Oreochromis niloticus: one gene and its partner. The protein of the gene in region 1 purifies or fractionates together with the protein of each later gene. This does not show direct contact. Links are inferred from orthologs where the notes say so. Each region holds a gene or a part of one and is shown in the gene's direction. Other genes may lie near its edges.

Evidence for each region. Proteins that work in one complex are often made in the same cells at the same time.
Region 2: the proteins of fkbp5 (region 1) and nudcd3 purify together in Homo sapiens (affinity purification with mass spectrometry; 3 studies listed by BioGRID and IntAct, with this or other methods). This does not show direct contact. The link is inferred for Oreochromis niloticus from reciprocal best matches to the Homo sapiens genes FKBP5 and NUDCD3.

The regions. Positions count from the first base shown.
Region 1 is NC_031970.2:16,196,383-16,203,597, forward strand, and holds the start of fkbp5 (peptidyl-prolyl cis-trans isomerase FKBP5), read left to right. Parts: upstream 1-4,195; 5' UTR 4,196-4,483; intron 4,484-7,215. UniProt on the Homo sapiens protein: Immunophilin protein with PPIase and co-chaperone activities. Component of unligated steroid receptors heterocomplexes through interaction with heat-shock protein 90 (HSP90).
Region 2 is NC_031972.2:9,661,710-9,669,628, forward strand, and holds the start of nudcd3 (nudC domain-containing protein 3), read left to right. Parts: upstream 1-4,911; 5' UTR 4,912-5,098; coding exon 5,099-5,296; intron 5,297-5,659; coding exon 5,660-5,967; intron 5,968-7,919. Other genes in the region: mrps24 (small ribosomal subunit protein uS3m), read right to left, coding at 1-272, 1,681-1,792, 2,415-2,492, 3,845-3,886.

The DNA.
Region 1 (7,215 bases):
CAAAAACAAAAAGAAGTTAATATCTTTCAGGACAGTTATACAAAGTGATAAATGTCAAACATAACATAAAACACACCAAAACTGAACTATGCTGACAATAAAACACAACCTTTTAAGGTTTGTGTTGACATGATGAAAATAGTACTGCTGTTATTCATTTATTTGGGGCCCTTGGCAGACACAACAGTAAAGAACTCCTGCTTCGAGGGGGGGGCAAAAGTTCAGGGATAAAAGGGATCACTCGGGAGATTACTCCCCTGTACATAACACGGATGCCTAGAACACAAACAAAGAGCATTATGTTGCTCAGCCTGTAGCTGCAGAGCGCATGTTTGTGTGACAGCAAGTGCTTCTTTAACCTCGCCCTCACATTTGCCTTTTGCTTCACCAAATGAAGCATTAAGCTGCCTTTGTTTTTCCGTGCATATATTCCCCCGCTGCCATAGGGTTCTCCTTGTAGCTATTTAAATGAATCATCTCTTTTTTCAAGCATCCACTCAGCACAGTGTTTTTCAATCAGATTAGTACAGCACATTCTGTTCTGTTTCACTTCCTGATGACTGTGCAGCCCGTATCCCTGAATGAACTCACCCGCGTGCTTCTGGTTACACCAAGATACTCATTCAGACAGACGGATTCTTGCAACTGCCTGTCAGATTTTTGTACTTTACACAGTATTTAGCAAAATCTGTTAAGCACCTATCAGCTTTGCTGTTTACTGTTTTGTTTTAGCAAAGATTAAATGACTTTCTGATGCAAAGTGATAGGTAAGTAGCAGTAAGAAGGCCACTAAGTTCTAAAAATAAGTTACAGCTGCATCTATGTCCCCATTATATTTATATAAAACAGCCACAGACCATTGATGTAACCTTTGACCATCTAATTTTCATTTTCTTCTTCTTCTTTTTTTGTCTCTCGCCTGCCTGGGTGCTTTCACCAGAACAGAAACAAGATGTTCTTGATGTTTCAGGAAGGAAAACAACATCTCAAGCCATGTGTCACTATACATATCTATTCATGCATCTCAGTTCAGCCCAAGCCTGTTTAGGTCATTTTGACCTCCAGTTAAGCATTACAGTGTAGGGAAAAAGAAGAGAGACAAAGCAACCAGGACACCACAGTTCACGAATTTTGGTAAAACAAACAAACCAACCTTTGCCTGTGCAGGAGTTAACCGTCCTGACATGGTGTTTTATCTTAAATAATCAGTACTTTTATTTTAAAGGTTTCATGCGGGCACTGAGACATAGTGAGGTTGTGTTTTTACATCACACGACCACATCTTTCTGTTTCTGTGCTGTTTTTTTCCTCCTTTAAATGTGAATAACATGTTCTAAAACACATGTGTGTGAAAGCTACTTTCTTCCGATAACCAGATGCTCAGAAGATTACTCACCCCAGCTGACAATATCCCTGTTGCGTTTGCAGAGTCAGGTTCACTTGTGTTATGTCACCTATATAATTAACAGGATCATCATGTTCCCTCTCAATAGCAGCTTGTTGTCTGCCAGCAGTGTGGTCAGACAGTATCCTTACCACCTATAATGGTGGGATTCATCATCTAGAGAGACGAGGCTCTTTGAGCATCTCGGTTCTATAAAGAAAAGTTTTCCTCTCGCTGTCTGACATGAACAAAGTTTGGTTAACTTCTCGTTAATGATTCAGTCATGACATTAATTCGAGGCATATTTTATAGTTTTTAATGCAATAAATGTGATAAACATAGACACAAGAAGCAGCCATAAAGCGTGTCATATTTTCAGCACTGTTTATTGACATATTAATGCCAACATCCTCAACTGCAAAAGCACAAAAGCAAGGCCATAAAAATATTTTATTGCTATGGATTTTAGCTTCTCTTATCTCCAAAGTAAATGTGTCAGTAAAAAAAAAAAGGTTCATCTTAGGGATGTGAAAGAGAAAACATATTAACTATGAATGTGATAATAAGCAAACACTTGCTTTAATCAAATCAGGGAATATAAAAAGCCTAGAAAGGAGATAAAGGCAGGGCTGTTTGAACACAAGATTTCGTCAGCATGCAGAGTGTGAGTCTGGGGTTTCCACATGATGAGAGTTTTCTGCCTCCTTACAGGCTGTTTAGGAGTCGTGGTCAAAATATACTCAAACACATGCCCTTTGGAGAAGAACATGACCACTGTGAAAAGTTTGATTGCAACATAAATCAACTCCTGCTGGGTTTTTATATATATATATATCATCCTGATAATATTTTGAAATATTATATTAAAATACTTGGTGTTGTGTCTCTCATGTTCATCTCTTTTGGTGTGTGTTTAGTACTTCACTACTATTTTGACTTCTTGTATATTTCAGGTGAAAACTGTCTCTTCCTGATAACTGCGGTCTTTGTTGACCAGAACAAAATTTGACTTGCAAAGCATCCTTCATAAAATGCAATGCATTTCATGCTCACCTGAAGCAGGTTGGCTACTTTAACTTGTTATGTAACATATTGCTTCACAGTGAGCACTTTAGGTGTGTGTTAGATGTGACACTTTTTTCTAATCCTGTTAATATGGAATACATAATGAATCAAAATGACTTCAGTAACTAAAAGACATTTACAATTTTGAATATTTATTATTTTATTCTTCATGTGGATTTCCAGGTTAAAAAGCACCTCCCAAATTATAATGTGTTTATAGTGCCCCATTACATATAGTAACACTTAGACAAGGGTATTTTTTTTTAGGTTTTTACTTTAATTAAACTTTGAAGACTTTAAGAAGAACTGTACTTCACAGTAAGTAATTTTCATTTTGTAATTTACTCAGATACAGTAGCAATTATTGGACTACAGTAATGGGTTAGACAGGTTTAACATACAGGTGCTCCAGTGAGCATCCACATCAGAGTAAAATACTGACAAAATATGAAAACTATTGTATCGGGAGGTTAATGATTAATTGATGATTAATAATGATTTATAGGATGAGACAGGATTAGGCATATTCACCATCTGTTCTTGGTTTATTACATTGACTTATCATTCAGCACTTTGTCAGGGACTGCCCTTATGTTCCCTCACAATGAGTACTTCTACTTTTAATAATGACTTGTATTTTTTTTATCACAGTGCATATAGCCTATATTTATAGGAACTTATAGTTCCCAAAATTTGACTTGCAAAACAAGAGTTAATAGAATATGATGCACATTACTAGAATACCATAATACTAGAATCACACACAGCACCATCTGAACCGTGTTTATACATTTAAATGGACGCCTAACACAGGACTTTTCACTCTAAGTACATCAATATGTGTTTGTACTTTAATAAGATTTAAATAAAGAAAATGTCTTAAGTTACTGGTTTGACAGCAAAACAGCTGTCGCCAAGATTTTACTTGCAAAGTTAGTAAAACAAAAGCTAACACCTTGCAGTGAGAATAGAGAATTAGTATGTAACATGAGGAGCATACACAGAAAATCATCTTTTATATTTGACTTTATTTTTATATCTAACTTGGTTGAGTGGTATTTTTTCCAACTAGTAAAAGATCTTCATACTTTGCTGCAAAGCCGTAAACACCACAATAATGTAAACACAGACTGTTTGGGAAAAGATGACAAATGATCTCCGCCCAGTAAAAATGCCAAAATGGAAAAATACCACCAGGAATTAATAAAAGAAACAGTAGTAAAAAATAACATGCATGCGCTTTTGTTGAAGTCCTTACCCTGAAATAAGTTACAGAAAACTGTCCTTTAAGCCATAAAAGTCTCCGATAAGCAAAGACGCTACTTCCCCCCCCTTTTCTTTGTAAGTCTACAGAAACAGTGCGCTAATCCGTATCACCGCGCGTCTTATCGGGCAGTGAGGTGTGCTTTTACTTCGGTGATTACACATCCTCATCTGTGTCTGCAGGCGGGCTGTTACACAGTACTGTTGATGATACGTGTTGTCAGCTGAGCGGGGAGGACAGCCTGCTGCGGTACAGGCTGTTCCCGGCCTGGCTGTCTCGGCACGGAACGGGTTACAGGTCAGGGTGTCTATTGGAACACAGTGTTCTCATCAGCAGCGGCAGCGGTACAGCTACAGTACAGCCGGAACATTGTGTTACTTTGTGGCTGCTTTCCAAGACCTGCCCTTAATTTTACTCTAAACGTCCTCCCACAACTCTACCCCCCCCCCCCCTCTCTCTCTCTTTTCTTTCTCTGTGTGCTTCTCTGCCTCACTACCTCCCCGGTGTCATTTTGAAGTCTGAGCTCCATGTGGCTACTACTACACCGGCAGGTTTATCGTCACCGGCGAGGACGGAGATTAAAGTAAAGAGGGAGGGAAGGAGGGATAACTAGACTGAAAGAGCGCTGCTTAATAACCACATGGGCAGAACATTTAGTACCATGGATATGAGATGAGAAGGGCGGGCTTGAATTAGGTGAAAGAGACGCGCTTTTCCAATTTACCGACCGACTCGCTGAAGAAATTGTTATTATCGGATCACAAGAACATGTAAGTGATTTAATTTACTCCTCTTTATTCTGCTGCTGACAGACTTAATTAAGGAGCTAATTAAGGCATATTCATGCCTGGCTGAGTTAAACTGACACTTGTGATACATCGTGAAGATTTAGCTTCATTGTATTTAAAGACTGCTTTTTAGAAGCACACGCACACACACACACACACGCACACACATATACAAAAAGAGAGAAAAATCAAAACGTATCTCAGAATTGATGCCGAATTTTTCACACGCATGAGGTTACAGCTATATCCCACTGTGCGCTGGAAAATAAAGGCTGATAAGGCACTGCGCGCGCGCGCGCGTGTGTTTGTGGTGGGTGGTGGGGGTTAATAGGTGAAAGTATGTGTGTGTGTATGTGTGTGTGTGTAAATGTGGCACTTAGCTGCGGGTCCCTGTGGAAAGGAAGGATGAGGACAACAGTTTATATCTAGACTACGTGTAAGCCTAGGTGTACCTACATAAATTACAGGTTGTGTAACTGTTTCTGAGAATTACACCAGCAACTCTGGCGCTCGAGCATTTATTCTGGAGCACTTGAACATTACAGGATATGATGGTGGCCCCTTGAATAACTTCAAATACACGGGCGTCCCTGCATGGGTAGTTAGATTTGAAGCACAAGCAGCACAAGCAAGTCGCCCTGTAAAACAGAGGCTGAGGCGACATCCCAGAGATGAATCAAACTGCCTCAAGGTAGATACGGAATATAGATAAACTGGTTGTTGTTTTTAAAAGCACTGAAGGATATGATATGTTATTTAAAGAAAACGGGGGGAGGGGGGTTCTCTGTTACCTTTTAACAAAAACAATCTATTTTTAAGATTCGCAGTGTCAAATTTCACGTCAAACCTAATTTTTGACTTTTTCAAAAAGTCAACTCCTGTCGCTTTTTAAACTCTGCAAAGGGTTGTTGGGTGAAAGGGGAAAAAAAATCCCGTATGTCAAACAGTGCTTTGGTTCAGGATGTCTGTTTGCCATGCACATTGTGTACTCACACGTTCACATATTAATCAGCAGACTACGGATATGAGGCAGAACGTACAGATAGGCTGAAGTGTGTGTGTGTCTTTGTCTTAATATGCTCTGTTCCTGCATTCCTCTGCAAAGTAGCTGTACATTTAGTCTACATGCCATCATCTCTGTGCTGTCACTCTTTGCACACTGTTCCTCTTTACATTGTTTAATAGTTGGATATTTATCATAAAGAAAAAGCAAAAGCTAAAAGGGTCAAATTGATAGAACACACAACATTTACTTGAAATGATGCTAATGTATGTCTGCATTCACCTACTTGTTTTACCCTGTTTAAATCATATGTTAATCTAATTGTAAATATAGGTTCTGTTTGACTAGTTTAAATCACCTTGTTTTGGTTTAAAAATTGAAACTGGGCTGTACGTGAAGGGGTCTCAGATTGGTGAACACCGTCAGGCTTTGCCAGCGGGGGAACTGTGAATAGAAGGAACATTGTGTACAGACACACAAATGCACACACACATGCACGAGTTACATCTAAAACCAAATCCATCAGATATCAAAGACACAAGACAAGATGCTGCTAATGAGGGATGGACACTTTGTGCTCAGTGCACAAACACTTTGAGGGGAGACACAAGGCTGAAGAACCAGAACAAACAGTGCAAATGTCAGTAATACAGATCTTTATGGTTTCACCCTGTGGTTTGAGGCGCCCGGGTTGCGCCATAGTTTACGTTTCCTAAGATCTCATTTAGTATGAGGTCAATTTCTTTATCGGCATTCAGTACACTGGACATGTTGCTTATTGATGAGACTCAGACCAAGTGCTGTTGCTTAATGTTAGTCTTTGCAGGCTCTTTGTCGCCACAGCAGAACATAACGTAAGACAGGGCGACTGATGGAAAAATCCAGAAAACTGATGCAGGGTAGGCGAGCTGCTGCTCCTCTCCAGTAAAACAACATGCCGCCCGAAGAATGGTTATTGCCTCAAATGAAGTCTGTGGAAATTTTAGAACTGTTGTCTGATCAGCAGCTGTGTCCTTGTCACGTTACTCTGAATGGACACTAACACTTTTTATTTTGACTATTTGAAACAGTCTGTCCTGAGAGCCCTACCTAAACTTGAGCTAGAAACGTGGTGCAATGTGAGAAGATTTCTGCTTGTGACATCACTGAGATAATCTCGTATCTTTAACATCTCTGCTTAAAAAACACAGACGATACAAAGATTGCCTTTATATAAAATCCCCTTTCTCACGGCTTCCCAGCATACAGTCAGCAATTTAATCATCAAACACCAAAGCAGTTGAAGTCAAAGATTTTCTTTATTTGCTCATTCTAAAATGAATGTGTTTACATTTGCTTGTCAGTGGGAAAAATATAAATTTCAAATATATTGCGCAATACGTTATTGTGCTGCTCAAAGATTCGCTGCTCTGTAGAAGGCTTATTTGAAAATAAATAAATAAAGGAAAGACCTTAATTATGTTCAGATGAAGTATAACTCTAAGAGTCCAAACTGGCTTGATACCAAGAGGCCATTTTAGCTCAAAATGGTATACTTCTACATATACGGTAAAAACATTTTAAAGGAAGCCTTTTACAAAGGAGATCCAGCACTGTGGTGCAGCCTGGGCAAAGAAGACCACCGTAACAAACTTTCTCCCCCCACATACCCTCATAAAAATCAGTTTGCCACTGCATTAATTGGTTTACTTGATCACCCATTAAACAATAA
Region 2 (7,919 bases), on another chromosome or scaffold:
GTACACAATCTTATCCTGCAGGGTCTGAATCTCTAACTTGACAGGGCATTTGTAGAAGTGTGACAGCAGTGACTCTGTATAGCCAATCAGGAAGTAAAACTTCTGTGGTGGTAACTTCTGTAGCATCACTGCGCACACATTCAGTAAATTGCCACGCCTTTTGATGACAATCTCATTGGCCAGGCACCCGTGGAACGTCCCAAACATGAACCTCCGAATGAAGACGTCTTCTACAGTGCGTTCAGCTGCCCCGTCCTCTCCTTTGAGGTTACCTATCAGCAAGAGAGAAAAAAAACTGGAGCTGTCATGAAAGATCAAGAGGAATTTGGACTGAATTACACATTAGCTGCCGCTGATTGACAAAAATGTGCAAACGAAAAGAACACTGCCTCTTCAGCAAAATATTTATTAATAAGGCTCACAGTCACATCAGACAACATAAATATTATTTTAAGTTTCTTTACCATGTTTAATATTATGTTTAGAGATATATTTGAAAATATATTTAATTTTAGGCCTTAATTTTGCTTAAATTATGCACTTTCTGTAATAAACTGCAAACACCATATGCAGACACTGAAAAGTATCAAAAGACAGAGAAGAGTTTGATGAAGTCTAAAAAGATTATAAAATGAAAACACTAGTTGCTGCTGTCTGGCTGTGGAGAGCACAAACATCATGACTCCATAAATTGTTTCCCACAGAATGAAATGAACAGCAGCCAAGTGCAGCAGGGAAAAGCTGTGTGCTCGGCCTCACTTCAATAATCTGAGACACTGAACTGGACCTGTCCCGTTCGTGCTGCAGTTTTGATGAGTGAAATTCTATTATTTTATTGCTCTGTTGTTTAGTATGTGTATGGTAATTAACTAATGACTAATGTGATAAATTCTGGTTCCAAAAAGCCAACAGGGTTGCAAGTAAAATACTAACATGGAGGCTTCAAAATGCAGAGTCTAAAACCAACAGGTGATGTCACAGTGGCTACATCCATTGGTTTTCTTTACAGACTATCATTGCATTCCATATAAAAGGAATGCAATGATAAGTCAAAAATCAGCTGTCTCTCCAGCGAGTCTCTCATCTCATGGTCAGACAGGGCCAAACCTCATGGTTTGAGAACAGTTAGAGATAGATGGTGGTTCTCGTTCTTCTATGCAGCCTACTCAGTTCTCCACTTGCTGCAAATTCTAGACACTAACTGGAGAGGCTCAGCAGTGACTAGTCAGCAAGCTGGAAGGTAAACATGATACGTGAAGCGCTGGGTCTTGCCAGCTTTTCTCTTTGAAGGTGCTTGATTGCTGTGGTTCTCTTGAACAGATGAAAATATTTAATCAAATGCTAAAATGAGTTTTGACTTGGAAAATGTGTTGGACACACTTTGAAAACATGGAAATGTTTCCCAGTATCAGTGTGTGGATGGCCTGTGCACAACACTTTAAGTCTGTGACACAGGAGCATTCAAGCTAAAGTGCATAGTTTGGTTGGACTCAGTGATGATTGGTATGTAGTCTGAGAGCTATCCACACCAGGGAAGCACAGAATGCTAATGCTTCCTCAATGACTGCTTCCATAAAAATCACTGAGGTAACTAATTCATGACCAAATACGTAAGAGGACAGTGTGCATAAAATCAAATGTGCGTAGCGAGAGCATATTCTCAATCTCAGTCATGCTCACTGGTGTGCTGTGACAGCCATCCTTTGCGGTGGCCAATGTGGTGAGGATGATGCGCTTGCTCATAGGTCACAGGTTTGTCTCCTTTCCCCACTCGGATACGAGCGGCTCGATTCTGTATAAGAGAAAGACAAAAGAGCACCTCTTTGGTTTATTTGGAGCAAACACTATCAGACACATTGACAGTTAATAATCTATGACAACCTAATTGCCTTTGTAAAAAGCAACAAAAAAAACTCAAATTACTACTATTTTTTTTAAAATGGTTGTGACCTCTAAACCACTCTGACTGTGGCTCTGGTAAAGTATCAGAATACTTCAGGTGATAGAGCAGCAGGTTTATAAAAAGTCAAATAGGAAATAGGCATTTGGATAGTTTGTATCTATCACTCTAAATGATTATATGGGGATGTAAACAAATTTGTTAAAGTATGTTTACAATGAAAACAAAATTAATATATACAAAATACAATACTATTCCCATAAAAGTAAATACTGCCCAGAGACCAGAGAGGGAGCTGCCTCAGGAGAGATATGTGCTCTCCAAATGCTTTATCATTATATTCTACATCTGCAACAATACTTACTTAGATTTTATTTTATTTTATCATCCCTGTGTTTAAAACAAAATGAGCACTGATGTAACAATATAGAGTGTGAAAGTTAAAAAGATAAACACAATGTTAAACAGTTAGTGTTGCTGATACAACAGCCCTGAGACGGCCAAGGCCGCTTACCTTGCAGCACGACGCAGTAACATGGAGGCCCCTGCTTCCAGAGAGGCTGCACAATGATCTGGACCAAGCTAAGGTGCTCTGCGAAACAGGTAAGGTAGTGAGAGTGAAAACCAGTGAGTAAGTATTGAATTGATTTTCAGAAATAATTTCAAAATCAAAAAAGGTACATCTGGCTTCTCCCTTATTTCCCAAAGGGGATGTCAAAGCACGTGGCTCAGCATGTTTGACTTAGCAAAGATAAGCTGGAAGTCCTTGCTGATGCAACACTCCCACTTAGCAGGAAGAGGTGTTGGGCAAGTCGAGGCTTTGTAAAACACTGAAATGTCTGAAGCAATTGTGCTTGAATTGTAATACCTACTGACCACTCTGGCTTTCATTACATCTGCTAATGCTAGTCTGTGAAACAGTGATGTATGCTAGCATTGGACAAACAAGAATACTTACTAAAACTAATAACTTATTACTGCAAATAATTATAATCGAGACATGTTTTGCTGAAACATCCGTACAAACATAAATATTTGGATCATGACAGCAAGCTGTGACTGTAGTGAACAGTGTGCTTTAGCGAATTTTATTTTCTTCCTGTGTTAACATGCAGAGGCTGTTTCAGTTGCTTAATAATGTAGCGCAAAATATTTCAAACCAAGTTATGAAGGTAAATACAAGGAATTGAGATTCTGACTCAGGCCCTCTTGTCTAACACCAGTCTCTGATCTCATTAATGCTCTTCTTGATGAATGGGCAATTATTTCCACAGACAGCCTCCCAAGTCTTGTAGGAAGCTGATTTTGCTGCAAAGGTGGAGCAACTCTCCACTAATGCTTATGGATTTAGCGTGTGATGTCATAGACGCTCCTGTGGGTGTAATGTGCAGGTGGCACAACACTTTTATCCATATAATGCATCTCTGCAACACAATGCACAGATGTCTTGGACATTGTGTCAGAGATGTTGTATCATCAAATCATAGCCAGTCCAAACTAGTGGGCTGTATTGTGAATTATTCCTATTGCAAATTGTTTTAAAGCTGTTTAATAACGAATTGTTAAAAGGTATTTGTCGACATCTTAGTTGCCGTTCTTAGTGTTCAGAATGCAGTTTCAGATATTTTGATAAGGCAAAAGGCTGTTATAGATGTTTCCATGTTTGATAATTCAGGTTCGTAGTGCCACAAACAAACACGCTTGGCTTCTGTGGTCATACAACGCAGTAGTAACAAACTGACACAAACTTTTGCTACGTCTGACATTTTTGCTGTTTATCACTTAGGCAGCCAAGAGCAAGTTAGCTAACCCCTAGCTTAAAATTGTTATATAAAGCCTAACCAAAACGTAGCGCTAAATTAATGGGTGCACGCCGATAGCTACACGGTCAACAAGACTTAATGGAAATTAATTAAATGTTACGGTTTAAAATGACTTTCTTACCAGCACCCTCACGCTCCCTATGCTGCTCAAGGACGCCGCCATGTTTTCTTCAAACGATTAACTTGTGGTACTAAACTACAACACAGCAGGCACTCTGTTTATTACTGTATAAATAGCCGAAGCTTTTCGAAAGCTCAGGAATAATCATAACACGTAAAAATAACAAAATTAACGTTTCTATACTGAACTTGAGCTGTATACTGGAACTGTTTGTTCCACAGGCAGTTTCCACAAGTTTCCACCGGACAACTATTAACCTGAACCAACCGGAAAGAGGGAAAATAAAAGTTTTAAGGTAGTTAAACGAGCGATATTTTAGACTCATTATTATTGACATTGTGCTTTAAGAACAAGGAAAATTGGATGCAAACACACAGTTTAATGTACAGTTTAATTGCTAAATTTTTCCTCACAACATTTTCTCTTACGAGTTGTTATTTAAAGCAAGTTAAAATTCCTGTTTTTAACAGATGCATTTTAAAATATACATTTTTGTTACCTAAAATGTACTCTTTAGTTTTTCCTTCTAATTTAACAATAGTCGTTCTTGTAATTATTAATGATTAATTTGCTTTAAAGATTAATATTATTATTGTGTATAATATACATTAGTACAAAAATTAGTTTTGCATACTTGAGTAATTTTATAGTTATTATTATGTTTCTGTTATGTATTAAGTGTGCTTTATTTAAAAAGAGATTCTTTGAAACCATATACCATATTTGAAAACATATGTCACTTTTCTTGCGATTATTTGTGTTCGTTTATACTTTTGCTTTATTTATAGTGGGTCCACACTGCAGTGGTTCGCCTAACAAGTGAAGGTCAGCCTAAAGTAGCTTAGCCTATCTGTGCTATTAAAAAATAAATACATAAATATGAGTCAAGAACTGAAAAGGGACATCCTAAATGCGTGATTGTTTCGATTTTGTATGTATTAAAAAATAAATAAATACACAAAGACACTACAAATAGCCATAGCTTGTGGGGTTTTTTGTTTGTTTTGTTTTGTTTTGTTTTGATACCCGGTACCCGATATTTGTCAAAGACTGCACACTTATTTTGAAAACGTTGCACCGGAAGTATTTGTATTGTTCTGGAAAGAGGAAAGTAGTTGCTAAGAAGCGTTATCCTACTCGTCCCACTTATTTCTATACTTGTGTTTCTTGGCAAACTGTCATTATTTTGGTGGGATAAGTATTGGCTGGAATAATTTGAAGACTTGTTGAGAGGAATAAAGATTGAAAGCTGCGATGGCGTCGCCGCTGGAGATGACAGAGATGTACGATAATGCTCTTCTGGGGATCCTGCAGCACGTTGGGAACATTCAGGACTTTCTGCAGGTCTATTTTGGGTTCTTGTACCGCAAGACGGACTTTTATCGCCTGCTGTCAAGTCCCAATGATAAAATGGGTTTCCCTCCAGGTGTGGCAGAGAAGATGGTGCTTAAGGTGAAATTTCTCAACATTTTAACCTGTTAAATGTAAATACCTTGGCAACAAACATGACTAAGGGTACAGTTTGTGCACATGCATATTATTTCCAATCACAGGTTAAAAATGAAGCTGTTATAATGTTACGTACACTTCTGTGGTCCTCGAGTTTCTTAGACTGCAGTGATTCGTCGATGAATTAACACCTACATAATACAAAATAACTCCTGTGCTTGGTGATAGCCTTGCAGTCTATATGAGCCACAGACCTATAGCAATGCATTTGTTATTGCCCTAAGACTTCGGTGAAGGTTAGATCCTATGCTAGAGTTGTCTGCCTCTCAAATGATGATAAGCGATAACCTTTAAATCTTTCCTCAGACATTTAAGTTATTCGAGAAGTTGGCGGAGCACGACAGAGAGAGAGCAGTGAGCGAGCTGAAGAAGAGAGAGGAGACTAGGTATGTTCCTCCTACAGTTCAGGAGCTGGAGGTTGCCTCTGAGCCTTGTGAGGAAACCAAGCAGCAGAGCACAGAGGCGGCGCAGATGGAGAACTCTCCCTCCAGTTCTGGGGATGTTTCAGCTCCAGTAGCCTCAGGCACATCCGTCTGCTCTCAGCAGGATAGCAGCAGCACTCCAGCAATTTGTGGAGATCAGGCAGCTGCAGCCAGCTCGAAATCCAAAGCAGAGTGAGTAGCTACTAGCGTTTTTTAACCTTTGAAGCATCTGTTGTTTTAAATATGGTCCAACATAAACATCACTCTGCACACTACAGTGTCTCAGTAAATGCACTTGTCAAGGTCAATTTTAGGCCTTAAAATGACTTTGTGACGGGACGCAGACTTCGGTGAAGGTTAGTTGCAGGTTCTGTTGCAGGGCTAACGCAGAGAGACAGACAACCATTCCACTAACATTCACACCTAAAGGCAATTTAGAATCACTAGTTAACCTAACCCTGCTAACTGTATGTCTCTGGGCTGTGGGAGGAAGCCAGAGTACCCGGAGAGAACCCAGGTAGACACAGGGAGAACATGGAAAATATTTATATTTATAAACTAAGACAGAAAATGTTCACTGCTAACCGACTTAGTTCTGCTGTACTTTGACATACCCTATATTGCCAAAAGTATTCACTCACCCATCTAAATCATTGAATTCAGGTACTCCAATCATTTCCATGGCCACAGGTGTATAAAGTCAAGCACCCATGCATGCAGACAGCTCCTACAAACATTTAGAAGCTCAATGAATTCCAGCATGGTACCATGATAGGATGTCTCATGTTCAACAAGTCAGGTTGTGAATTTTCATTGCTACTAAATATTCCACAGTCAACTGTTAGTGATATTATAACAAAGTAGAAGCAATTGGGAATGTCAGTAACTCAGCCACAAAGTGGTAGGCCATGTAAAATCACAGGAACAGGGATTAGCAGATGCTGAGGTGCATAGTGTGCTGAGGTGGAGTCAGTCGCTGCAGAACTCCAAACTTTATGTGACCTTCAGTTTAGCTCAAGAACAATGCATGAACACACTCCTAAATCTTGTGTTATAGCTGCAAAGGGTGGACCAATATCATATTATACCTGTGGATTAAGAATGGGACATCACTAAAGCACTTATACATATGAAGGGTGATAAGTGAATACTTCTGGCAATATAATGTATAACCACTCTGCACTGTGTGTGAGCAATGCTATGTGCAGACTAAAGTGCCTCAAATTTCAGCAATGTTGAAAAAGACAGAGGAGAAGGAATAAGTGCCTCGATATTGGATGAAGTGATGTGTATAGGATATGGAATGGACGATTATGTGTGATGTATTATATGAAAACAGTGAGATGGGAAAACAGAAAAAATATGTGTGAACTCTCCACTGTATTTGGAGAGTTTAGTGACTACATGTACTGGACTTGAGGCCTAGCAGAAAGCCATTTGCCGCAGCTTCCTGTATAGCCACGAGACTCCAAAATATTTGAACTCCTCCATTTGTGGCAGCAACTTGTACACAACCTGCAGGGGCTACTCTACCCTTTTCTAGTCAAGAGCTGTGGCCTTGGACTTCAAGTTGCTAAATTTCATCCCATCCACTTCATACTTGGACTGGAAGCTGGTCCATTGCGACCTTAAGGTCATCTTGATGAAACCAACAGAAAGACGGCTTTCAAAAGAAGTAGAAGCATAATCCAGACACCTGGCTCTGCTGCAGTATTGTTGAGTTCTCACAATAACAGTGTAATGTCAAGTCTTGTAATCAGTAAGCACATATCCCATCAACAAGTGACACTGGATCTCAGCCTCTGCTTCACTCTTAGGTGGAACCTTCCTGTGAAATTATAGTTTGAAGGTGTTTATTTTTTGTTTGTTTTGTTTTGTTTTCGGGGAGACAACAAAACTAAATTTACTACTTTGGTTTGTTAGACTCGTATTAAATGAATCAAATCATTGAATTACAAATCGTCTCCAGGTTATTGAGGCTCTCGTAACAATATGAAAACTCTGTGATAATTAACAGAAGTTGAATGATTGCAATAGAGGCTGTAATTTGTGTACTAATTATAATAATGATGTCTGATAATTGCAATCAGACTTAAGTATAGTAATCTCCTCCATAATGGAAAACTAAAAGATGCAAGATGGCT